Linked DNA regions of Mus musculus. The protein of the gene in region 1 interacts with the protein of each later gene in a biochemical or structural test. Links are inferred from orthologs where the notes say so. Each region holds a gene or a part of one and is shown in the gene's direction. Other genes may lie near its edges.

What was found.
Region 2: of the proteins of Top1 (region 1) and Topors, one has a biochemical effect on the other in vitro, tested with the Homo sapiens proteins (2 studies listed by BioGRID). The link is inferred for Mus musculus from reciprocal best matches to the Homo sapiens genes TOP1 and TOPORS.
Region 3: the proteins of Top1 (region 1) and Nkx3-1 form a complex in vitro, tested with the Homo sapiens proteins (2 studies listed by BioGRID and IntAct). The link is inferred for Mus musculus from reciprocal best matches to the Homo sapiens genes TOP1 and NKX3-1.

Annotation. Positions count from the first base shown.
Region 1 is NC_000068.7:160,710,437-160,717,643, forward strand, and holds part of Top1 (DNA topoisomerase 1), read left to right. Parts: intron 1-2,208; coding exon 2,209-2,352; intron 2,353-3,644; coding exon 3,645-3,830; intron 3,831-4,609; coding exon 4,610-4,678; intron 4,679-5,276; coding exon 5,277-5,391; intron 5,392-6,950; coding exon 6,951-7,078; intron 7,079-7,207. UniProt on the Homo sapiens protein: Releases the supercoiling and torsional tension of DNA introduced during the DNA replication and transcription by transiently cleaving and rejoining one strand of the DNA duplex.
Region 2 is NC_000070.6:40,264,848-40,272,727, reverse strand, and holds the start of Topors (E3 ubiquitin-protein ligase Topors), read left to right. Parts: upstream 1-2,886; 5' UTR 2,887-3,008; coding exon of another isoform or gene 3,009-3,051; coding exon 3,052-3,054; exon of another isoform or gene 3,055-3,149; intron 3,150-4,226; coding exon 4,227-4,424; intron 4,425-7,880. Other genes in the region: Ndufb6 (NADH dehydrogenase [ubiquinone] 1 beta subcomplex subunit 6), read left to right, coding at 1,881-1,949; Smim27 (small integral membrane protein 27), read right to left, coding at 2,586-2,690, 3,009-3,053. UniProt on the Homo sapiens protein: Functions as an E3 ubiquitin-protein ligase and as an E3 SUMO1-protein ligase. Probable tumor suppressor involved in cell growth, cell proliferation and apoptosis that regulates p53/TP53 stability through ubiquitin-dependent degradation.
Region 3 is NC_000080.6:69,187,120-69,195,123, forward strand, and holds Nkx3-1 (homeobox protein Nkx-3.1), read left to right. Parts: upstream 1-3,572; 5' UTR 3,573-3,585; coding exon 3,586-3,874; intron 3,875-4,704; coding exon 4,705-5,129; 3' UTR 5,130-7,539; downstream 7,540-8,004.

The DNA of each region.
Region 1 (7,207 bases):
TTTTAGTGAGTCTCTCAGGTGTCTTGGTGGTGGTTTATGTAAGAAATTGTGGTAGAGGTACACCTTGCTTTGTAGCTTTGTACCAGGAGGATAGCTTGTATTGTACATTTTCTAATTTATTCTCTTAATGTCAAGTTGGACTTAGAGAAATCAGAGAGAAATTTTCAGCTTCCTGAAAGTTATTGAACCCCTTGTTTAAAAGCCAAACAAGCCCATACAAATAGTACACACTCAGTTGTGAGGAAATGTTGACGACTCCCTAGCACATCCAAAAAAGCATTACTTTCTGAGCATTTGTTAAGATCTGGAAGTAAGCCTTTTTATTCCATGCACCCCCATGCTTTCATGTGGTCCTATGGGTTAGGTCCTTTTGTCTTAGGTGGAAAACAATATACAAAAAGAAATCACTACCATCTCCTCTTTGTTGTAGGATCTTTAAATCTCATGTCTGTGTAGGGGCATGTGCGTTTGAGTCCTGCAGTGTGGGAGGCATTAGATTCCTCTGGAGCTGGAGTCACAGGTCACCTCTGATATGCGTATTGAGCACAAGTCTTCTGGAAGAGAGCAGCATGGGCTCTCAATTGATAAGCCATCTCTAACCCCAGATTCTTAGGGGATTTTCACCTTGTAAAATTCTGCCTTGTGGAATTTTCCTGATCTTTCTCACTTGACATTATTGATCCTTGCTTTCAAGTCCTTTTCTACTCAGGGTGGTAACAGAAATCTTTTGTTGTTTAATATCAGTCTTTATTTTTTTTATAATATTTTTTATTTAGTATTTATATATTTTACATAATGTACAACTCCACACTTCCCAACTACTACCAGATTCCCTACACACATCATTCTCTCAACTGTGACTCAGTTGAAATAGTGGTGTCCATATATGCATACATAGGGGCTGTCCAATGGGGTGTGGGAAAGCTACCAGGTATCACACCTCAAAAGAGACCACTACAAATACACACTAGCAGCTATCAAATGTCAATAGCTCCTCAGCTAGGAGTTGGGGTTTATGTATCCCTCCCCATTTCATGATGGAATGTTGATACTGTGCAAGCAACCAGAGCAGTTCCTGAGTGCAGTGTGGCCCTACCATGTTTAGAAGACACCTTGGCCCCAGTCAAGTTTGTACCTCTTTAAGTCTTTCCATCACCTTTTCCGATGCTTCCTGAATTTTGAGGTCAGAGTGTGTGATGTAGGGGTTCAATTCATGCCTGAATATTTCACAGACATTCTGTTCTCTGTAATTTGACCAGTCGCAGCCCTGGTATTAACCAAATCCATTGCACAACTCTTCTGATGAGGACCAAGTCTGGGGGTGTACAGATATGTGTTTAGAAAGCAGCCTGGTGCCATGTCCATTTAGCAAAGTCTCATCAGTGCTTTTCTTAACCCATCAGACCTGTGAGTTCCCCAGCTATAGGTTCTCAGATAGGTTTATATTACCAAGCACGTGTGACATTTTCATGGGCTTTAGGATCAGATCTCAAACTTTATGCCAAAAGCTCTTTTGTTATGTTTTTAAAGAAGCCAGGTAGTCGTGGTTGGTGTACACCTTTAATCCTAACATTTGGAGGCAGAGGCCAGCAGATCTCTGAGTTCAAGGAAGCTAAATCTATGGAGCTAGCTCTAGGACAGTTAGGGCTATATAGAGAAACCCTGTCTTGAAAAACCAAAGAAAGAAGGAAGGTGTTCCCAGAAACATTTTTTTTCTCAGTCAAATCAGAGACCATTTTAAATGCAGAAGTGAGAAAATGGTGAATAATTACGCCTATTCATGGAAGCTTTTGTCTTCCTTGGTAATTACATGTTGTTGTCTTGGGTTCTGTTTCTTTGATAGGTCCCTGAAACCGCTATGGCTGTCTTGAATTTAATGGAATTCAGTGCTAGCAGAGAACTGGAGCATGCATTCCACAGCAAGGCTGTGGTGCTTCTGAAGCAATGGAGATGCTTACATCCTTTATGTTGACAGAAGTCAGTTTGGGGGCATGCTTGGTGGATCTCACAAGAGTGGGAACCATTTTTTAGATAGGAAAGCTTTCTTAGCAATTATACAGGACGGAGTCAGTAGAATAGCAAGTATTCTTGTCATGTTACATGCCCCAGACTTTCTCTTCAGTTCTATGCTTTTCCAGCTTTGGTTAAAATCAGGTTCCTGTTTTGGGGTTCAGAGCTCTAAATATTCAATGTGTTGCTCCACTGCAGGGTGAGAAAGACTGGCAGAAGTATGAGACTGCGCGGCGTCTGAAGAAGTGTGTGGACAAGATCCGAAATCAGTATCGGGAAGACTGGAAGTCCAAAGAGATGAAAGTTCGTCAGAGAGCTGTAGCACTGTACTTCATTGATAAGGTGGGGACATGTTCCTTTATCCACATTGGACAGTTCTGTTTACAGGTATAGGGAATGTCTACAGTATAGGGATCAGGAATGTATATCTGCTGTGTGACTTATAATCCAAATTTACTTAAGTAGGAAGAGTAGATGTGGATACAAAGAAAGAGGCATGTACAGTATGTTGGCTATTGAGCAGTCTCTATAACAAGAGGATCTGCATAAACTGAACATTATTAGTTAGTTTGTTTGTTTGCTTGTTTTTGGTTTTTCGAGACAAGGTTTCTCTGTGTAGCCCTGGCTGTCCTGGAACTCACTTTGTAGACGAGGCTGGGCTCAAACTCAGAAATCTTCCTGCCTCTGCCTCCCAAGTGCTGGGATTAAAGGCGTGTGCCACCACTGCCCGGCTGTTTGTTTTTTTAATAACTGTGATGCTCAAGATTTTTGACCATAATCTGCAAAAGTACTTACTTTATGTCAAAATCCAACATAACAGTTTTATTTATGTGAAATTAAATCGAAAGTTGCACAAACCACTGGTTAACTAGTAGCATTGAATTCTGGTGGTTATTTCTCATTTCATTCTTTTAGAAAATGACAATTATAACCTATACAATTCTTAAAAAAGTGTGATTTATGATAATTGCAGTTTGAAAGATAGTTTTTTTAGTGCTCAGATTTTTTTCTTCATTTTACACTTAAATTTTAGCCCAAATTCTGAATTCACACAAAATTGATAAGTTTTTAATCTGACTGTTCTCATGAAAATATGGTCTCATTTGTTGCCTTGTTTTAATTTTTTTCTTCTTCTATCTCTACTCTAAGGATGGAGTAGAGAAACTTGGGTCTCTGGGTATTCTGTGACTGACCTACCTACCTACCTACCTACCTACCTACCTTCCTTCCCTCCTTCCCTTCTTACCTCCCTCTCTCCCTCCCTCCCTCCTCCTCCTCCTCCTCCTCCTTCTCTCCCTTTCTCTCTCTGTCTCTCTCTCTCTCTCTCTCTCTCTCTTACTCTTTTATTTGTTACTATATTTAAGTACACTGTAGCTGTCTTCAGACCTGAAGAGGATGTCAGATCTTATTACAGATGGTTGCAAGTTACCATGTGGTTGCTGGGCTCTTAACAGCTGAGCCATCTCTCTAGCCCTGTGACTTTCTTATGAGTTGAGTTTCTAAGTTATGTAGACTGATGTTCATTCCATCTACAAAATTGGGGGCTTCTGGTTTAGAGTGTCATTGAGATTATATGTGGTCTATGTTTCTTCACTCATCTCTTTCTGAACAACTCTGTTCCCTTTCTTGCACAGCTTGCTCTGAGAGCAGGCAATGAGAAGGAAGAAGGAGAGACGGCAGACACTGTGGGCTGCTGTTCACTTAGAGTGGAACACATCAATTTACACCCAGAATTGGATGGTCAGGAGTATGTGGTGGAATTTGACTTTCCTGGGAAGGACTCAATCAGATACTATAACAAAGTCCCAGTTGAGAAACGAGTAAGTTCATGTGGCCTGTGCTTCTTTCTCTAGCTTGCTCTTTTTACATGTTTGTTTATTCAGCAAATATTTTTTGAGGGCTTTTGCATGTTCTGCATTTTGATGAGCTCTAGTAAAATTGATCTCAAAGAAAGAAAAGAGATAATATTTGGTATATGGTGTGCCTCATTTCATGCCTGCCCTGCAACCTCTGCTACATTGCTGGGAACCTGTGGCCATCTCTGGAAGCAGTTTATAACAGAGTCTGCAGAGAGTTAGCCTTTATAGCAAACTCAATGTTAAGATTGAACACAGCCGCTTTAGTGATTTAAGCATCACAGCATCTGCTGATCACTTGTTATCTTGTGGTTTTTCTTAGCCCCAGTCCAAGCCCCAACTGAATAAAATGGTAATCTTTCAGTTCTCAGTCTCTGAGCTCATCTCTGTAGACCCATGAGATAGACATAGGTACCTACTACTTTCGCCCATTCGATAACAGTGGGTGCCAGTTCAATCGAGTAACTAGGGTAAGCATAGGTTGGCTATAAGGGAGTGTTTTTGTTCTTAGGAAGTAGATGCCAGGATGTTTGATGCTAACAAACATCCTATTTGAGTTACAATATATACCACAAATGGCTGAGAACTGATACTTAGGTATTTATGTAAATTTACACATGCAGAACAAGAATTTGGGTATAATATATATAGGTTGTCTTTCTACCTTTTCTCTTTTTTGAAAGTTATTGTGAGTTTGAAATTATTTCTAAAAAATTTTAAAATAATAATTGGACTTGTTTTAGGTTTTTAAAAACTTACAACTGTTTATGGAGAACAAGCAGCCTGAGGACGATCTTTTTGATCGACTTAATGTGAGTAAACACAGGACACTAGGCTAAAGTCCAAGGCAATCTCAAGCTCCTGGGGTCAAGAGTTGTCAAAGGGTATTTGGACTGTCCATTCAGTCTAGATTGTCCAGTGACATTCTACATATCCCTCCTCCCTTGGGGCACTCAGTCATCTGTAACCAGCAGCAGACCCTCCCTCCTCCCACCCTGTGGGTGGTGCTGTGGATTCCTACCAAAGCTGCAAGGCAGAGGGAGCTGAGCTTTCCATGGATCTTCCCTCTTCCTTTCATCCTTTCATGCTTTCATGAGACGCCCAGCTGCCTTTGCTACAGACCTAAGGCTTTCACTTGCTTTCTTTACTGGGAGAGATATTTATAAGAAAGAAAAAATTTGTTGTCTTGAACTTAAGATTAAAGTACTTTATAGAAAGGCACTATGCAATCCTTCCTGTATTCTGGAATTATTTTCCCTCTTTGCTAACTTCCTCTGTGAAGGACAGGACAGTAACTGGCAGGATGGTGGCAGCACTGGCACAAGGACTCCTAGTATTCACTGTAAGGGAAAGGGTGATTTGGTGTTTACCTCAGTTCCAATATCCTCTTTGTTGTCGTGTTTAATGCAGACTGGTATTCTAAATAAACATCTTCAGGATCTCATGGAGGGCTTGACTGCCAAGGTGTTCCGTACCTACAATGCCTCCATCACACTACAGCAGCAGCTTAAAGAGCTCACAGCCCGTAAGTAATACTCTGTATGGTTGTCCTTGGGATGGTGCCAGTTTCCTTCTCTTCATTCTTTCCCGCCAACCTCTTGAAGAGGCTTTGCTGTCTAAGCAAAACCAAGGCCTTTCTTCCCACTGCTGCTGCAAACTCTAGATTAATCTCATAGAATACTAACAAGAGCTTTGCATCTGGTCTAAAAATTTTTATGTTTTATCTGTGTTACTTACAAGCTCAGAGGGTATAGGCAGTGGTGTTAAATTGGGGAGAATAGAGTTGTCATGGTTACCAGAAAAATGTAGTAGTAAATCTTTTTCTTTTTTTCTTTTTGGTCTTCATAATAGTATGTAATAATTACCTCTGGGACCTTAGAACTTCTTTTCCTCTCCATTTAAAACAAACTCTCACACTGTAGCTAAAGGCTGGGCACATTCATCATGTGATCCAAGCTAGTGAACCTTCTGCTTCAGCCTACCCACAGCTGAGGCTGTAGGCAACCCTTCTGCTCCTGCCACTTGAATTTCCACTGCCTTCTATAAATGTATCAAATGCTCTTAGACGAGCCAGAGATGGTATGCTGGAGATCAGTAATTAGGATTGGTTTAAACAGTGGCTAAAAAGCCTGGATGTGTTGGTGGCAGCCCAGCACTTGGAAGCAGAGGCAAACAAATCTCTTGAGTTTGAAGCTAGCCTGGTCTATAGAGCAAGTTCAAGGACCCTGTCTTAAAAGAACACCCCATCCCCACTCCTACCCCTCCACAAAAAAGAAAGAAAGTCAGATCCCTAGAACTAGAGTAATAGATGAAACCAAACCCAGGTTCTCTGCATGAGCAGCAAGTATTTTTTAACCACTGAGCCTTCTCTGCAGCCCCTGCAGTATAGCTTAGGATCCCTTCATCTCATTCTCCTGTAGTCATTTCTTCTAGCACAGCTGCAGCATTTGCTACATCTGCCTAGTAAGTGGGAGACAGGGAATAAGAAAAGCAGTATAAAGGTCTGGGGGCTTTGGGTTTTTGTTTTTTGTTTTGGTTTGTTTGTTTGTTTAAAGATTTACTTGTTTTATGTGAGTACACTGTCACTGTCTTCAGACATACCAGAAGAGGATATTGGATTCCATTACAGATGACTATGAACCACTGTGTGGTTGCTGGGAATTGCACTCACAACCATCTGGAAAGCAGTCAGTGCTCTTAACAGCTGAGCCATCTCTCCAGGCCCAACTCTTGAAGTTTTTAAGAAACAAAACCAAAAATATAGATTTCCCTGTAATGTAGACAAGCTGGGCAGTAGTTATAGCTATTCAGGAACTTAGCAGTTTAGAGACCACCTGGACTTCATAATGAGACCTGGACACAAAATCCAGTAAGGGTAAAGAAAAATATAAAAGAGAGGCTCAGAATTCCTCCTGTGACAGAAACTCATTCAGGTTTATGTAGAAATTTACTGCCTTTGACTCAAATGTTGACCTTGAAACTTGGTTATGATAAACTGAAGGTTTGTAAAAACATCTAGAATGCATTTCATGTGTATATTCTTGGTATACAAACTGACCCAGTTACTATTATATTTCTTTGTAGCTGATGAGAATGTACCAGCGAAGATTCTATCTTATAACCGTGCCAATCGAGCTGTTGCAATTCTTTGTAACCACCAGAGGGCGCCACCAAAGACCTTTGAGAAGTCAATGATGAACTTGCAGTCTAAGGTATGGTGGGTCCAAAGGTAGGGTAGCAAAGGGAGTCCATGTCTGATGTCTTCTGACAAGCAGAGGCTTCTGGAATCTGACATAGTATGGCCTGGGATAACAGCAGGCTAATCTGGGTCGGTTTAGAAA
Region 2 (7,880 bases), on another chromosome or scaffold:
ATGGTCTTTTCTTACTGTCAGCTTAAATGCAGTTTGTGTATCATAGGAGGAAGGGAGGAGGGCTGGTGTGATGGTGGAAAATGAGGAGCGGATACTGTATGTCTCCACCTTGTTTGATGACCTTGACTGCCCTACAGTAGGAGGCACCACCAGGTTTCTCAGGGGTCAAGAATTACAGCACGAGCCTGAAGAGATAGATGTACAGGCAGCTAACAGCTGAGGTTCTGTCATTCCCAGATTCTAACTTCTTTGGCTTTATGCTTATAGTTCTCAATCTGTGAAGTTAAGACACATTTGTGTCAATTTCAATTTTATGTTACAAAGATGTAAGCTCTAAAAGTAATTTAAAAAATTCCCTCATGCCTTTAATACTAGTACTCAAGTTGTTCAACGCAATAAATGACTGCTACTATGTGAGTAATGAATGAGCCTCCATAATGGTAAATTGAAACTTAAATTAAGTAGCATATGTTACAGTTATCTGTTAAGAGCCGCAAAAGGAGACTTTTAGGGAGAACCATCAAATTTGGCTAACAGTCCACCCTGGAACTCTGCTTTACAAACTAACAAGAAATGTCCTGTAATCAGTGTATGTCAGACCCCAGGCAGCCTCAAAGTTGGGCATTAACTTGATGGTTTTGTTAGCTGACTAATATTTATTTATTCTTTGCTTGCCTGATTATTTAATTATATGTTTATGATGCCATTCATGGTCAAAGGAGAAGACAGGCTCTGTTTACAAAGCCATGTCAGTGGTTTCGTAGCATTTCTTTATTTTCTGAATGTCCTCTTTTGCTACAGCTGTCCTGTTCTGTGTCTGTGTTGTTGACCAGTTCCAGAGTCTCTCTCTTTTTTTTTTTTTTAGATTTATTTATTTATTATATGTAAGTACACTGTAGCTGTCTTCAGACACTCCAGAAGAGGGCGTCAGATCTTGTTACAGATGGTTGTGAGCCACCATGTGGTTGCTGGGATTTGAACTCCTGACCTTCGGGAGAGCAGTCGGGTGCTCTTACCCACTGAGCCATCTCACCAGCCCCAGAGTCTCTCTTTTGAGAAACTGAAGACCGTCTGTGTCCTCTAGAATAGACCAGGCCATGACAGGGTTCCAAGTCTCTGGCTTAACAGAACAAGTTTCCTTCTTCCTGATAGGATAGACTAGTATGAGTCAGGCTGTCCTCCCAGTCTGTTTGTCCCAGCCCTTATTAAAATGAATAATAGAGCATAACTAGCTTTTTCATGCAGTGCCTGAACATGGACTAGCATAGAGTGACCATCTATGCACAGTATTTTTGAAACTTGGAGGTGGATGTTGAGACAATAGATTGAAGGAATAAAATACTAAATCTTGTAATCAGAAGGATGTCATTACCTTGATTGTGGAGATAGATAGTCTCACAAGTATATCCATGCTTCAGAACTACAGTCTACCGTCTAAATATGCACTTTAGTATGCCTTTTAATTTTTAAGTCCTCATGTAATAGTTTGATTAATCTTTTTTAGCTTCATTTACAAATCAGTACAAGTAAAAAATTAGCACCTAAATTGAAATGTTTTAGGTAAAATGCAAAATAATTTTAATGGCCTTTTTTGGGGATTCTTTTTGTTGTTTTTTTGTTTGTTTTAAGACAGGGTCGATCTATGTAGTCTTGTCTGCCCTGAAACTTGCTATGTAGACCAGCTAGCTTCAAACTAGAGATCTGCCTGCCTCTACCTCTAGAGCACTGGGATTAATTCACCATCAGACCTGGCTTAAATTTAACAAATGTAAAGAAAGTATCTTTATAGTCATTTATTGTGTTGAGCAAATGTTGGAATATTTACAATGAAATGTATATTTGGTGAAAAATCTCTATTAAACACTTCCTGTTTTCCCTAGGGTGATACAATTCTGGAGACTGGAGAAGTAATTCCACCAATGAGAGATTTTCCTGATCAACATCATTGAAGAGTCCTTAAAAACTTAACAGACTTGTGTAACAGCACAAGTATGTTCCTAAAGTGCTGTATTTACTGAATCTGTTTCCTGGAAAAGTAATTAATAAAGCTTATTCTCAGAGTGTTATCACTGTCCGTGTTACTGTCCAAAGGTTCTATGATTTGAGACTAACAGTAAAAAGACAAATACTAAACAGAGCTATTAGCTACTTTTTTCTGTCCATTTTGATAAACAGGATGCAAAACACATTTTAGTCACAGTGTTGTTTACATACTGATTTGACATGAGGATGTGAAGTGTTTGAGCACTAGAATGAAAAGCTATGACCTGATACAAAATAGAGCCGGGCGTGGGGGCGCACGCCTTTACTCCCAGCACTCGGGAGGCAGAGGCAGGCGGATTTCTGAGTTCAAGGTCAGCCTGGTCTACAAAGTGAGTTCCAGGACAGCCAGGGCTATACAGAGAAACCCTGTCTCGAAAAAAAAAAAAGGGGGGGGGGGGTGTTGTCCGATCATTTTGAAAAATTGGCATGTTAACGCTTATCACAAAAGGCCACACGCAAATTTGTATTGTGAATTTTACTTTGAGTCTACATAGGTGCCATCTGAAGAAAAGAAGTGTTTGCTAAGAATTACAAAAGTTCGTTCAGAAGAACTTGTCTGGAAACTCCTTCTGTAGTTGTCGTCGTGCAGCTACAGTCGATGCATAGATGACGAATCCCCAAGAGAGCAAGACGATTGCAAGGAGCAACTAAAAGGAGGGGAGGAAAAGCAAAAAGAAGAAATCAATGTGCCGGGTCCTTTCCCTGTGTAGCCCGAGCAAGCAGCTACAGGTGGAAAGGCATCACATGCCTCTAACACAGTGCAGCCCAGAGGCAAGCAGGCCTGCAACCCCTGACGTCAGAGGCGGAAAAGCGTGTCCTCCAGGAAGAGGCGGAGCCGAGGGCAGGGCGTGAACGCTCAATTTAGGAATGGGTTCTGGAGTTCCAAGCTGCGAGCCAACAGTCTACCTTCGGCTCGCGGGCCCTGCCATGGTGCGCTCTGGAGCTCCGCTCTGCTCGGTACCTACCAGGGAGTAAGTCCAGTCCAGGCTTCGGCGACTCATCGGCCTCATGGTAAGGGAGCAGCGGGGACGGGGTGGCAAGGGCCCTACAGCCTGCTCGCGGGCGCATTGCACCCCGATGCAGCAGCCATTTTTCAGCGGGACTCTGCGCGCTCCCGCGGGCTTCCGCCCGGAGTTGGAACACATCACGTGATCCGGGCCTAGCCCGCCTTTCAGGCAGCAGAGGGAATAAAAGAGAAAATGTGAAGATCGCGCCTTTTTTGCGCTCACATAGGAATTCCTTAACTGCTTTATCCTGCATTTGCAGTGCGGTATTAATACAAGATAGTGTGCCATCGTGTGCATATAAAAGTTTATTGGAAAATAGTCCACGGTGGAAGAATCAAAGTTGCCGTCCCACACCCACATCGGTTTCCACCAAATGCGGATAGACCTTCATATGTTTATGCTTGACTTAAACATCTTTTACGTAACAAAAACATCGTTGGGAACTGTTAGTTGAGCCGTTCACCAAGAACAAACAGAATATTATCGCTGATGGCTGGAAATCTTTTCAAATATGTTGTACAGGTAGCCCGCATGGTGGATCTGCCGGCCAACAAGTGTTGACGGGCAGTTTGTCGAATGCTTGGGACTGCAGCAAGTTTGAAATACTAAGTCCCGAGAAAGGCAGCTTGGCAGGCCAACTATCAGGATGCTGGTGGTGTGCAGAGTGGAAGCCTGGCCGGCAGAGGCTGGGCCGCTCGGCTTTGGGCGCAGATGTGTCAGATACATTTTTAGTGTAGATTTCCGAGAGTGGAAAGAGGGAAGCGGGCCGCAGGGAGTTATGGCGGGGTAAAAGAAATGCCTGATGGTCAACCCAGCTGAAATAGACGGAAGGACCAGGGTGCTCTGGGAGCTCAGTCCAGTTCCCGTGGCACCATAGAGAATCCTAACAACTTGTTGAAGTTTGTGAGGTTCCACTGATACTGAGGCAGCCTTTCTGCATATTTGGTTGTGATTGTGGAGTTTGTGCTGTGCCCCCCCGCGGTGGGGGCAGGGCAGGGTCCGGGGTCTGTGCCGTAACGTCCCGCCTCCTGCGTGCGGCAGCGGTTTGGCGCATGCGCCCAGAGCTCGGGGGAAGGGGGTGGAGGAGCGGTGTTTTGCTGCGCGGGCTCGGGGGGTTGGTCTCGCCTTCTCTCCGCCTCCAAACTGCCTGTGGGTGATGAACGTTCTACGTCATAGGGGTCGCAGCCGCCGCCACCGGGGTCTCCGCTGTCTCGCGAGGAGGGTGAAGCGCCCCCTCTGGTGCCTGCCGAGGAGGGGAGGCGCCGAAGCCGCCGGGTACGCCTTCGCGGATCCTGCCGCCACCGGCCGAGCTTACTGAGCCGGCGGGAGCTGGCTTCCAACGGCCCAGCGGTTCCTGCCACCGCGTCCTCGGAGGTGAGTCGGCCGGGAACAATGGGTGAGGGGTTCCAGTAGGCCCTGGAGCAGCCCTGTGGTCTGGGCCTTCTTCCACCCGGAGCTCCCAAGGGCTGGGGTCGCCACGCTGCAGGGCACCTGTGGATCGGCACCGGTGGGCAAGCGAGGGGAGTGTCTCCCTGCACTGCCTGAAGGGCTGGAGCGCAACTGAATACGGGATAGAGCTGTGTGTCGGCGCAAAACAGTTGCCACTGTTAGGAAGTGTGACCTTGGTAGGTCCCCAGCCCTGGACCCTGTCTGTGAAATGGGATCAGCATTTCAGTTGGTCGTGTTTATGTAACATGCATGGTGTGGTTGTCTTTCCATCCGAGACAGTAGTTTTGGACTAAGGAAGCTGTTAAGGCTAGAGGAGTTGTGCAGTGCTACACATTGTGGGCAGGGCTTGTATGCCTTGTGACTTTATTACACATCTAGTTAGTGCCCTTTGCTCATGGGCTGCTGATTCTGATTGGTAGACTGGAGAGGGGCAGTTACGGGATTGAAGGCACGGAGATTAAGACCGGAACTGGGAAGCAGCAGTTCTACTGGGCACCGTCCTATGTTAAAGTGGAGAAAGAAGGAAAAAACGTATGTGTCTTAAGAGTTGAGCTAGTACAGGGTAGAGTGTTTCGTTTGAGAGGATTTGAGGGTTTGGAAATAGATGGAATGCAAAGTGCAGGGCTCTTCAGTCAGTCACACTCAATGCGTATCTAGAAGGAGAGGCTTTCACGGGGCTAGCTTCCAAGCAACCCTCACCCCTTTTATTTTGGGGCAGGGACTTTTGTAGCCAAGAGTGGTCTGGAGTTCCCTACTTTGCAAAGGATGACCTTGGTCTTCTCACCGTCTTGCCTTCATATTCCAGTCTTCTGGGAATGCAGGAATATTCCAGGGTGCCTGGTCCCAATTAAATTTTATTATTACCAGAATTGAAATTCAATCTGGACAGTGGTGGTGCATACCTTTAATCCCAGCAGAGGCAGAGGCAGGCAGAGCTCTGAGTTCAAGGCCAGCTTAGTGTACAGAGTGAGTTCCAGGACAGCCAGGGCTCCACAGAGAAACTCTGTCTAGCCTCACTAAAAAAAGAAGAAATTAAATTTGGTCATTTAGGACTTAACAAATTTTAAACTATTCAGATTTACAAGTAGAATGCAGATTGCTTTTTACCAGTCATTCTGTTTTATCTATTTGTGGATGTTGTTAGCTGCTTTGCTTAGATATGTTAAATATAATTGTTATCATCTTTGGAAACTGTCAGAGGTGTGGGTGATGATCACTACCAATATCAAACTTTTCCATAACTTAAGCAACTATGTTGAACTCTCATCATCAAACCCTGCACCAAGTGTTTGCTTATTCAAATTGTATCCCTTCACACAACTTTTTTTTCCCCCTTTTCAAAAGACTATTGGTATTCTGTCTTAGTTAAGGTTTTACTGCTGTGAAGAGACACCATGACCACGGCAACTCTTAATAAGGACAACATTTAATGGGAGCTGGCTTATAGGTTCAGAGGTTCAGTCCATTATCGTCTAGGCAGGCATGATGCAGGCAGAGCTGAGAGTTGTACATCTTCATCCAAAGGAAGCCAGAAGTAGACTGGTCCAGGTGGCTAGGAGGAGGTTATCATAGCCTACCCCGACAGTAACAAGTTTCCTCCAACAAGGGTGTAACCCCTCCTAGTAGTACCCTGGGTCAAGCATTTTCAAACTACGCCGATTTTAGAGTTGAGAATATTTGAGAAGTAACTTTCAAGTTTGTCCCAGCTTGATCTTTGTGGAGATCCAAAGTAAGAAGTATTGATTCTAGTTGGATGTGGTGTCCATGCCTTTAATCCTAGCACACAGGAGGTGGGGGCAGGCAGATCCATGAGGTGCAGGCCAGCCAGGCTACGGGGAGACTTTATTCTTGACCCCACCCCCCAAAAGTGGCAATTCTCAGTATTATTTTCAGTAGTGCTGCATTAAAGTGCAGTCAGATGATTGAGTTCTGTGTCCAGTGATAATCTAAGGAGTGCTTTAGAAGCTGACTTTTGTAGAAAGCCTTGACTTGGAAGGGGGTGGGGGGGAGAAAATTCTGAAGTTCATGATCTCCATTTATTTTCCCTAGATATGTTGACCCTGTTACCAGAAATTTCCCCAAAATTATGGTATAAAGGGGATTTTAATCTTTGTTAGAATCAGCAGATTGGAAGATCAAAAAAGGAAAAGTTGAGTGTATCCTAAAGTAATAATAGATTTCCCTTTGGACTTGGCTTTTTATGAAGAGCTGATTAATCTGCTCTGGAGGTATTGGTTTGTAGCCCTGATCCTTAGGTTAGTAGGGTAGAGGAACGTTTACAAGGCTTCCGTCTAGAATACAAAATACAAAATTTAAATGGGTCCATCTTTGCTGCTAAAGTCAGGACGTCTTCTGCAAGTACATCGCCGCCCAGTCTGCCTGTTCCCTACCTCCCCACTATAGTTGTTAGTGTATTCACCGAGGCATGCAGTTATCACCCAAGTGTAATTACGGAACAGTTTGGTCTTCTCAGAAAATCTCATCAGCTCAAGGCATCTTTTCCTCCTTATTGAACTACTTTGGTCATGTGTATGAATGGTACCATACAGTGTGTGTGTGTGTGTGTGTGTGTCATTTATTAGATGTTATGTTGTAGCATTCAGTACTTTATTACTTTTATCACTAAGTAATTTTGTGTTCACATGTTTTTTATATAAGCCACTGGGTCCTGTTAGTGCTGCTTATATCCATATAGCTGTAGGGTTATCCAGAGGGGCTTGGGCGGTCTACCAGTAGCCACTTCTCAAAGAAAGTGACTTCCCACAGCAACCATCAGCTACCTAAAGACCTTCAGTTAAGAGTGGGGCTTTGGGAGTTCTTTGGTCGTCGTCATCATTGTAGTTGAACTCACACTCACGTTGGTGTTTGATTGTGGTTGCCACCTCCGGGGTACTGACCTGGGTCCTTTGTAAAACATCTCCCTCACCCCATGCTGTAATTTTTAACTGGCTTGGACTTAGACAGGTGACCACAGCTGTGAGTATCGTGCAGCAGCCACAGCATATCTTGAGCTTCTCGAACCTCTGGCTCTGGCTTTGTCTTCCCACCCTTGCTTAATTTTCCCTGGGTGTTGTGGGAGGAAGTTTGGTACAGGTGTCCCATCTCTGGCTGGGCTATCACGGGTGCTCGTTCTCACAGGTGGAATGTGATGGCTAGTAATGAGTCTGCACTCCTCTTGCCAAGGTGGAGAGGAGCATTGCAAAGCCGTCTGGAGGTTCTCCCCTTCTGCAGACGACTTCCGCTGCCTGGGTTTTGACCATGTTGATATAGTACTAAACCACATTGTGTTTATCTGTCAGTGGTGGGCATTTCAGTTACTACATCACAGAGGTCATGGCTAATGTGACTTCAGAGTTTTGTTTAGATATATAGTGTATGATT
Region 3 (8,004 bases), on another chromosome or scaffold:
CTAAAGAGAATTTTTTGTTTTATAATAGTTTAACATCTTAGAGCTCTCCAGTGGAGGAATGCACCCCCACCCCCACCCCCACCCCCCGGGCTGGCCAATTCCTATTAGCTAGAATCTTGTCCATGACTATGCCTGGCAGTGCGAACACTCTTGACCACTTAGCCATCTCTCCTACCCTAGATTTATAATTTTTAAGAACCACACATGAATGCAAACAAATAGATCCTGTTAGCCTCCCCTCCTTCCCTTCTCTCAGCCTGCCTCCACCTCACTGAGCAGACACCACTGTCCTACTGAATACATATATGTGCATGTCTGCGTGCAAATGATACGGACCACTTGTGGTCACCCTTTTACACGCGCAGTTGATTCTACAGCTCAGTTTGCAACTGGAACCAGTCTGTGACCAAAACCAGGTTCCCAAGTCAGTACATTGTATATTTATGAGTTTCCAGGGCAGAAGCCAAACTAGCTGGGTTGAAGGATATGTCCATTTTTAATGTAAACAGATACCGACCAAATATGTAAATCGGCCTATTTTCCGCCCACAGCAGTTACTCACTGTTTGGATGGCACCTTAAGAAAATCTTTCCCAATCTGATGCATAGAAATGACTATCCAAGGTTCTCTGCCCCAGTGTGGGGGAATGCCAGGGCCAGGAAGCAGGAGTGGTAAGTTGAGGAGCAGGGGGAAAGGGGGAGGAGGGATAGGGAATTTTCGGAGGGGAAACTAGAAAAGGGATAATATTTGAAATGTTAAGTAAAGAAAGTATCTAATAAAAAATAAATACATTTAAAAAAAGGAGTATCTCAATGTGGCTTTGATTTGCATTTCTTCTCTTTTTAAAAAATGCTATTTACTTTTAAAAATATGTGTGTGTTTGCATATCTGTGCCTGCAGAGGTCAGAGGTCAGGCATCAGATGCCCTGAGGCTGGTACTTCAGGCAGTTGTAATGCTTGATCCTGGGAATTGAGCTCTAGTTCCACTGAGCTATCCCTCAAGCCCCTTGATTTGCATTTCTTTCACGAGCCTGATTTTTTTTTAAAAAGAAATTCTCCTGTGTGCCTGTTTGCATCTACATCTTTGAGCCCTCTGGGATTTATTTTGAGACTAGGACTGTCTCATCAATGAAGACCTGTGCCCGGCCAAAATCAACATCATTAACAGTCAAGTGCAAACTCAAAAAACTAAAGCCAAACTGAAATAGCACTGTACCAATGTTAGTGGCTGAAATAAAGAGAATGGCCAGGGCTAATAAGGTTTCAGATATCTGACACTCGTTGCCTGTGGAAACAGCAGTACAGTCACACAGAAGAGCGGCTAGGCCTGTCACTCTGCATCTCTTGTCTCAGCTATCTTTTTTTTTTAATTCCTGACCATTGTGACCAAATATCCAACAGAATTAATTTAGGGAAGGAAGGGTTTACCTTGGCCGGTGGTTTGAGGGTATAGTCTGCCATCTTGAGAGGAGCACAGGACTGTATAGTCACGTCTCAGTCAGTCGTATAGTCACGTCTCAGTCAGTCGTTTCAGTCAGCCAAGAAACATGGGGATACACCAGTACTCAGTTTGCTTTCTCCCCCTTGAAATGAAACTACCCATTTAAGGCAGATGCCTGCCCCCGCCTGCCCCAGTGAACCTTCTCTGGAAACACTCACAGGCACACCCACAGGTAAGCCTCACTAATCCTCTGACCAAGTTAGTTATCCAAAGGAACTACCCATCACCCGTGGTCTGGCATAGCCACTGCACCACTGGGTAGAGAAAGGAGACTTGCATTAAATCTGTTATTCCCACCAAGAACCAGCCACAGACTGGTTAAGTAAAATGATGTTTGCTTTAGTTTATGAGTCTAGAGCTTCAAGTCCAAAATTAGGGGGCCTAATGGGGGGTGCAGTGCAACATGAGAGGAGCACAGGCTGGTGGGAAAATCCATACACCAGGGCCAGGAGAGGGGGGAAAATTGGGGCGCTACAATCTCTATGTCCTCAACAATTTGAGGACCTCTCATTAGGCTTCAGCCCTTATAGGTCCAAAACTTCTCCAAACTACCTCAGCAGGGAACGGCATTTATGTGTGGGCCTTGGAGGAAGACTCCCCACACACACTATATGCATACATACATACATACATACATACATACATACATACTACAATGAGGGACATTGGAGTTGCTATTTTTGCAATTCCCAATGAACCTGTAACTATATCAAAAATGTATATTTAAATTTTAAAGGAAAATAAGTCCAGGTAACATGCAGAAGAGAGCTTTTCTGAAGGCCTTCCGGTTATCCATCCCAGTTTCCCTCCGAAGTTGCTGTATTCTCAAGGGCCTGCCCCCCTTTCTTTCTCCCCAGAAATACAAGGTTCCCTGCAGAGCAGATTCCAGTTGAGTCCTGGTGCCTTAGACCACAACAGACTCTAATTGCATCCATTAATTAAAAAAAAAAAATCAGCGTAGGCTTTCCTCGGTTTCCACCAAATGTTGTATTCTAGCACATTCCTTTGATCAGATAGATCGTATTTAGCAATCCAAAGCATTGTTCTGAACCATGTGATATTTAAGTGACAGACATGGGGAGCCTGGGCTAGAGTGTTCATTTCTTTTATTAGTTTGGTTTGTGCATGTGTGCTGTCAGTTGTTTAGTTGTTAGTTAGTTAGTTAGTTAGTTAGTTAGTTAGTTTAAGACCGGGCCTCATTATGTAGACCTGGCTGTCCAAGAAATCCCTATATAGACCAGGCTGGCCTCAAACTCACAGAAATCCACCTACTTCTGCCCCTCTTCACTGGGATTAAAGAAATGTCACCCACACACAGCTTGAGTGTTTATTTATCTTTTCTTTCTTTCTTTCCTTCTCTCTCTCTCTCTCTCTCTCTCTCTCTCTCTCTCTCTCTCTCTCTCTCTCTCTTTCTTTCGTTCTTTCAACAGGGTTTCTCTGTGTAGCCCTGGCTGTCCTGGAACTCACTCTGTAGACCAGGCTGACTCAGAAATCCACCTGCCTCTGCCTCCCAAGTGCTGGGATTAAAGGCATGCGCCACCACTGCCCAGCGAGTGTTTATTTCTTAAGAATACTCTTTCCTGGTGTTACACTACCTGGTCAACTCAGTAAACGAGACACTGTCATACTACTTGGACCTTCCCTAATAGACTTCTGCTGGTTGTCTAGATGTGTCCAGCTGGGAGTCCAGCGTGGGACCATAATGAGCATGATTGTCAGACCTAGGATCAACTTAGACTCGGTAGATCTGGCTTTGTTATCAGTCTCTCTTACTATCTGAACACAATTAGGGTAGGTGGAAGCGACCTGCCTGCTCAGTTCTGATTCCAGTAAGAATTTGGCGTTTGTGGCTTCTCTGGCAAAGGGCTTGAGAGGGAAACCAGGAAAGGTTAAGGGCTCATCAGGGAAGGGCTCTGGAGCCTAATCCGCCCAGGACTCGCCCCTTGAGGGTCACCTGGAGCCCGCGGCAGCCAATCGGGGAGCAGCCGTGTCCCCGCGGCCAATGGGCAGGCGGCGCGGCGCTCAGCATGGCTATAAGTGCGCGCGGCCCGGTGATAGCAAAAGCGGCGCGCAGCGGAGGAGGGATGCTTAGGGTAGCGGAGCCCCGAGAGCCACGGGTGGAGGCGGGTGGCCGCAGTCCTTGGGCAGCGCCACCCACGCAGTCCAAGCGGCTCACCTCCTTCCTCATCCAGGACATCCTGCGGGACCGCGCGGAGCGGCACGGGGGACACTCAGGCAATCCGCAGCACTCGCCGGACCCTAGGAGGGACTCCGCTCCAGAGCCCGACAAAGCAGGGGGTCGCGGCGTGGCTCCGGAGGACCCACCAAGTATCCGGCATAGCCCCGCGGAGACACCGACTGAACCCGAGTCTGGTAAGCGGAGTAGACCAAGCGAGCACCATGCACAGGAAAGGACCGCTCTTGGGCTAATGGCCCCGAGCTCTGGATGCAGGAATCCTGAGGTTGGGGGTGGGGGCATGGCCACAGAAAGGACCTCGCTGTCCGCCCCACCGAGCCACCTTGAGCATCAACCCTGAGAGCAACTAATAACTTTGCCATCGACTTGACTCTTTTCCAGCGGCTGCAGACATTTACCACTGGCTACTAGAACTAACGATAACCATTAATATTCATAAATCAAGCCCACTCTTAAGTTCCCTTCGTCTCCATTCCACGAGCCATAAAATTATGGATGTTCTTTTAAGTCTTTAGAAATAGAATCGCGTCCAATTTTATCCTCCGGCCCCAACCACTTTTCATGCTGGTGACTAAGCCACAGTTACAGGAAGAGGACTAGGGCAGGAGATGAACTGGTTACCATCCCAGGCCACCTGGCTCATCTCCACAAATCTCAGTCACCCACTTCAATGTCCCTACGATGCCTCCGTCTTCCCTGTTGGCACCTTACCCACCTCTCTTTGCAACACACATCCAGGATCCACATTTCACTGATGTAAAACAACAAGGCAGAAAGATCAACTGTAAACCGCTAAGACCTGAATGTAGTTCACACTGATTATTAGAAACAAATACATAGTATAAAAAAAGCCTGCTCACTTCTTCAGGGTAGTTTCTTAGTCTTGCAAACAAAGTGAAAGTATCCAGATGACAGTGGGCTTTTTGTTCACTAGCAGAAAACAAAAAGGTGGTTTGAATTCTGAGCTAACATGTAACTTTTCCTCTCTCCTTCTGTTCTTCTCCAGATGCACATTTTGAGACTTATCTTTTGGACTGTGAACATAATCCAGGGGACTTAGCAAGTGCCCCCCAGGTCACCAAGCAGCCACAGAAGCGCTCCCGGGCCGCCTTCTCTCACACTCAGGTGATTGAGTTGGAGAGGAAGTTCAGCCATCAGAAGTACCTGTCTGCCCCTGAGAGGGCTCACCTGGCCAAGAACCTCAAACTCACCGAAACCCAAGTCAAAATATGGTTCCAGAACAGACGCTATAAGACCAAGCGAAAGCAGCTGTCGGAAGACCTGGGAGTCTTGGAGAAGAACTCACCATTGTCTTTGCCAGCCCTGAAAGATGACAGCCTGCCCAGTACCTCCTTGGTCTCCGTGTATACTAGCTATCCCTACTACCCCTACCTGTACTGTCTGGGCAGCTGGCATCCATCTTTCTGGTAGCAACAGTTCTGCTGATAACTGCATATATCAGAAACTGTCTTCCCTGGGGGTCTCTGGGAAAAAGCCACAGTGGCTGATGTCAAGGAGTCGGAAGCAAGAAATGTACAGATGCAAACTGTTGGGGGTTCCCAGGGAACACTCCAATTCTTCTCTGGTGGGCAGGTGAAAGATCTGGGGCAGTGACTATTTGAAGATGTAGTCCCAGTTCCAAGTGTCCTGTAGGTGACTGCTGCCCGCTCCCCTGTTTAGAGAGAGCCAGGCAAGTTTGAGTCTTGTTTCCAGAACTTAGAATGGCTACAGATGCAATGGCTATATCGTTCCTAGGAATTCTGTTGTGGCAACTCCATCCTCTCCCATGACTGAGTATCATGGAAGGGCCAAGCAAGGGGAGGGATGGCCCCTTAGATGAGGATTTCCTCTTGAGTTAAACTTGGGTCTCCTGTTGGCCTTGGACTCTGGCCAGAGTTTCTCTCTGCCCTTGTAAAAATGAGGGTAAACGGAAGATTTGAAGAATGGGGGTGGGAGGGGGTGACCCTTAGTGATTGAGGCAGGTTGGCATAGAACGTGAAGGGGGTGGAAGGTGGAATTTTCAACTTACCCTTTTCACAGTGATGTGCCAGTCCAAGGATTTACAGGGCAGCCTGAGTGTGGCAGGGTACACACGCGGAGGGGGTTAAGACAAGCTGTGTAAACAGTTTGCCTGCAGGGGTGGGCTGCAAAACAGACTTCCTCTCCAAGACATGGGCCTATGGGGTTTCCACACGCCAGGTGAGCGGCTTCCATCAGGACTTTATATTAGCAGGGAAGAAAAGGACTCTCCTGCCCTTCCTGCTTAGACTCAGGAGGGCCTGCAGCTTCCCTGGCCTGAAAATTCACACTTTGTGATGACAGAGGTGCCATTAGTTTTAAACAAAGGACCTTCCAACCCTCCTTTTTATTTCTTGTTCTTTCCTACAGGACCTCTCCGTTCATGCTTTTCATCTGTGCCTGTCTTATTTCGTGTAAGATTTGCTCCCACCTCCTCCCAAGGTTTACCTTTCTTGGTTTAACAACTTAACTAGCTACAGACAGATTATGACATACTTTTAAAAGAAAAAAATGAGCAACTCATCTCTTCCCTTTAAAAATATGACATACTTTAGAGAGAGAAAAAAAACCTAGCAACTCCTCTCTCTCTTTCCTTTAAAAATACTCAGCATTAAATCCCAAGCCCTATTTAAAGACATGAGAGCTGAAGATGACAGGTTCTTTCGCAGGGCTGTGTGCTAGCTCTGTGTTACAGTTCAAAGGCTGATGCCCATTGGGGTCCTGGGGATCCCTGTAGGCAGAGGTGGTTTAGGGGTGCTTGTTTTTCATGTGTAAGGAAGAACAGGACAAAAGGAAGGGCTGGCACTGCTGAGGGATCTGGGGGAGATGGAGGGGTCCTGCTGTCAGCCCAAGCTAACCAGCAAGGAGAGGTAAACTGTCTTCAAAATACAACCTCACCGAGGCTTCCATCCACAGATGTGTGTGTGTGTGTGTGCGCGCGCGCATGCACGCGCAAATGCTTTGGAGAACTATGCTTAGGAACTACCCTAAAGTGGTAGGAGTGAAAAAGAGAATTGGTTGACCTTCCCTTTTCCATCCTGATATCTCAGGTAACCTGCCGAATGGGAGATAAAGGAGGTAGAGCACACTTATAACAAATGAGACTTTCTGGGGCCAGGAAATCCCTTTATCCCACCACTCAGTGCTATACAGTGAGAAATCTTTTAATTTCCTCCTTTTAAATGGGCCAATTTACTGTTGGTGGCAAAACTGCCAAAGGAAGTTGATAGAAAGCTGGCGGCTTGCACCCTGTTCTTTGACAGCCCGGGTCCCCATGTTAAAGTATTGTTCCGTGTCCCTTGTTGCTGACCACTGTGGTAGCGTTAGACCATACCAAAGCCGGAGGAGTCCAGTTCTCTTCTTTCTATCCGTCTTTTGGCTCTGAGTTCCCTATCAGTACTTTCTCTCCTCTCACTCTGACTAGAATCTTTTTCAGCGTGCACTTTCACTACGTTTGAACTATTATAGTGTGCAGTGTGTGGCAAAGTCAGAAAGGGAAAGGCTTGTGTTTAAAATTATGTTGGGGAAGTCTGACTCAATTTTGCTTTCTCCATACTGGAACTACCCATTCACCCACACCTGAACTGGTAGAAACGTGGCCTGTTGTCTCCAGCCTGTGAATGGGAAAGGTATCGCTGTGGGTATCACCTGGGTGACATATCTCTGTCCTGTTTCGTCAATCAGTTAGCAAACCCCGGCTCTAACAGAAAAGTCTGTCACTTGGCATTTAGTATAGTACTCCACTCAAAACTTTATTTTTCTACGGGTTTTTTTTTTTTTTGCAACCTATGAGTGTTTTAAAATAAAGCCTCTATGTCTTTATTAGACACCTGCGTGTGGTTTTCAGATTCTTGCAAATGGGTTTTCTTTTTAGCTTGCATTTTTCACGGTGGCCATGTTCCCACAGGACACTTGGCTGGCCTGACAAGTTACAGACACAAATCAATCAAAGCAACAATTCAGCAAGTAGCCAAGAGGGTTTCTTTTCGCAGTGACCTCTCCTGCCATTCTGGTAAATCAAGGAGAGGGAAAAAAACAGGTCTGCCTGTATTAAACTTCCACCCACAGCAGTGGTGTTGCTGTCCCTGTCATCCCAGCACTCAGAAGGCGGAGGCAGGAGGATGAGAAGTTCAAAGCCATATTCTTTGGCTACACAGTGAGTTTCAGACCAACCTGACAGCATGAGAGCCTGTCTCAAAGTTATAACTCATCACCTGCACCCGTGTTGGAATACCTCGCGTGTAACTGAAGACTGTTCACGTATGTAGTGACCCTGAGGGAACAGGAT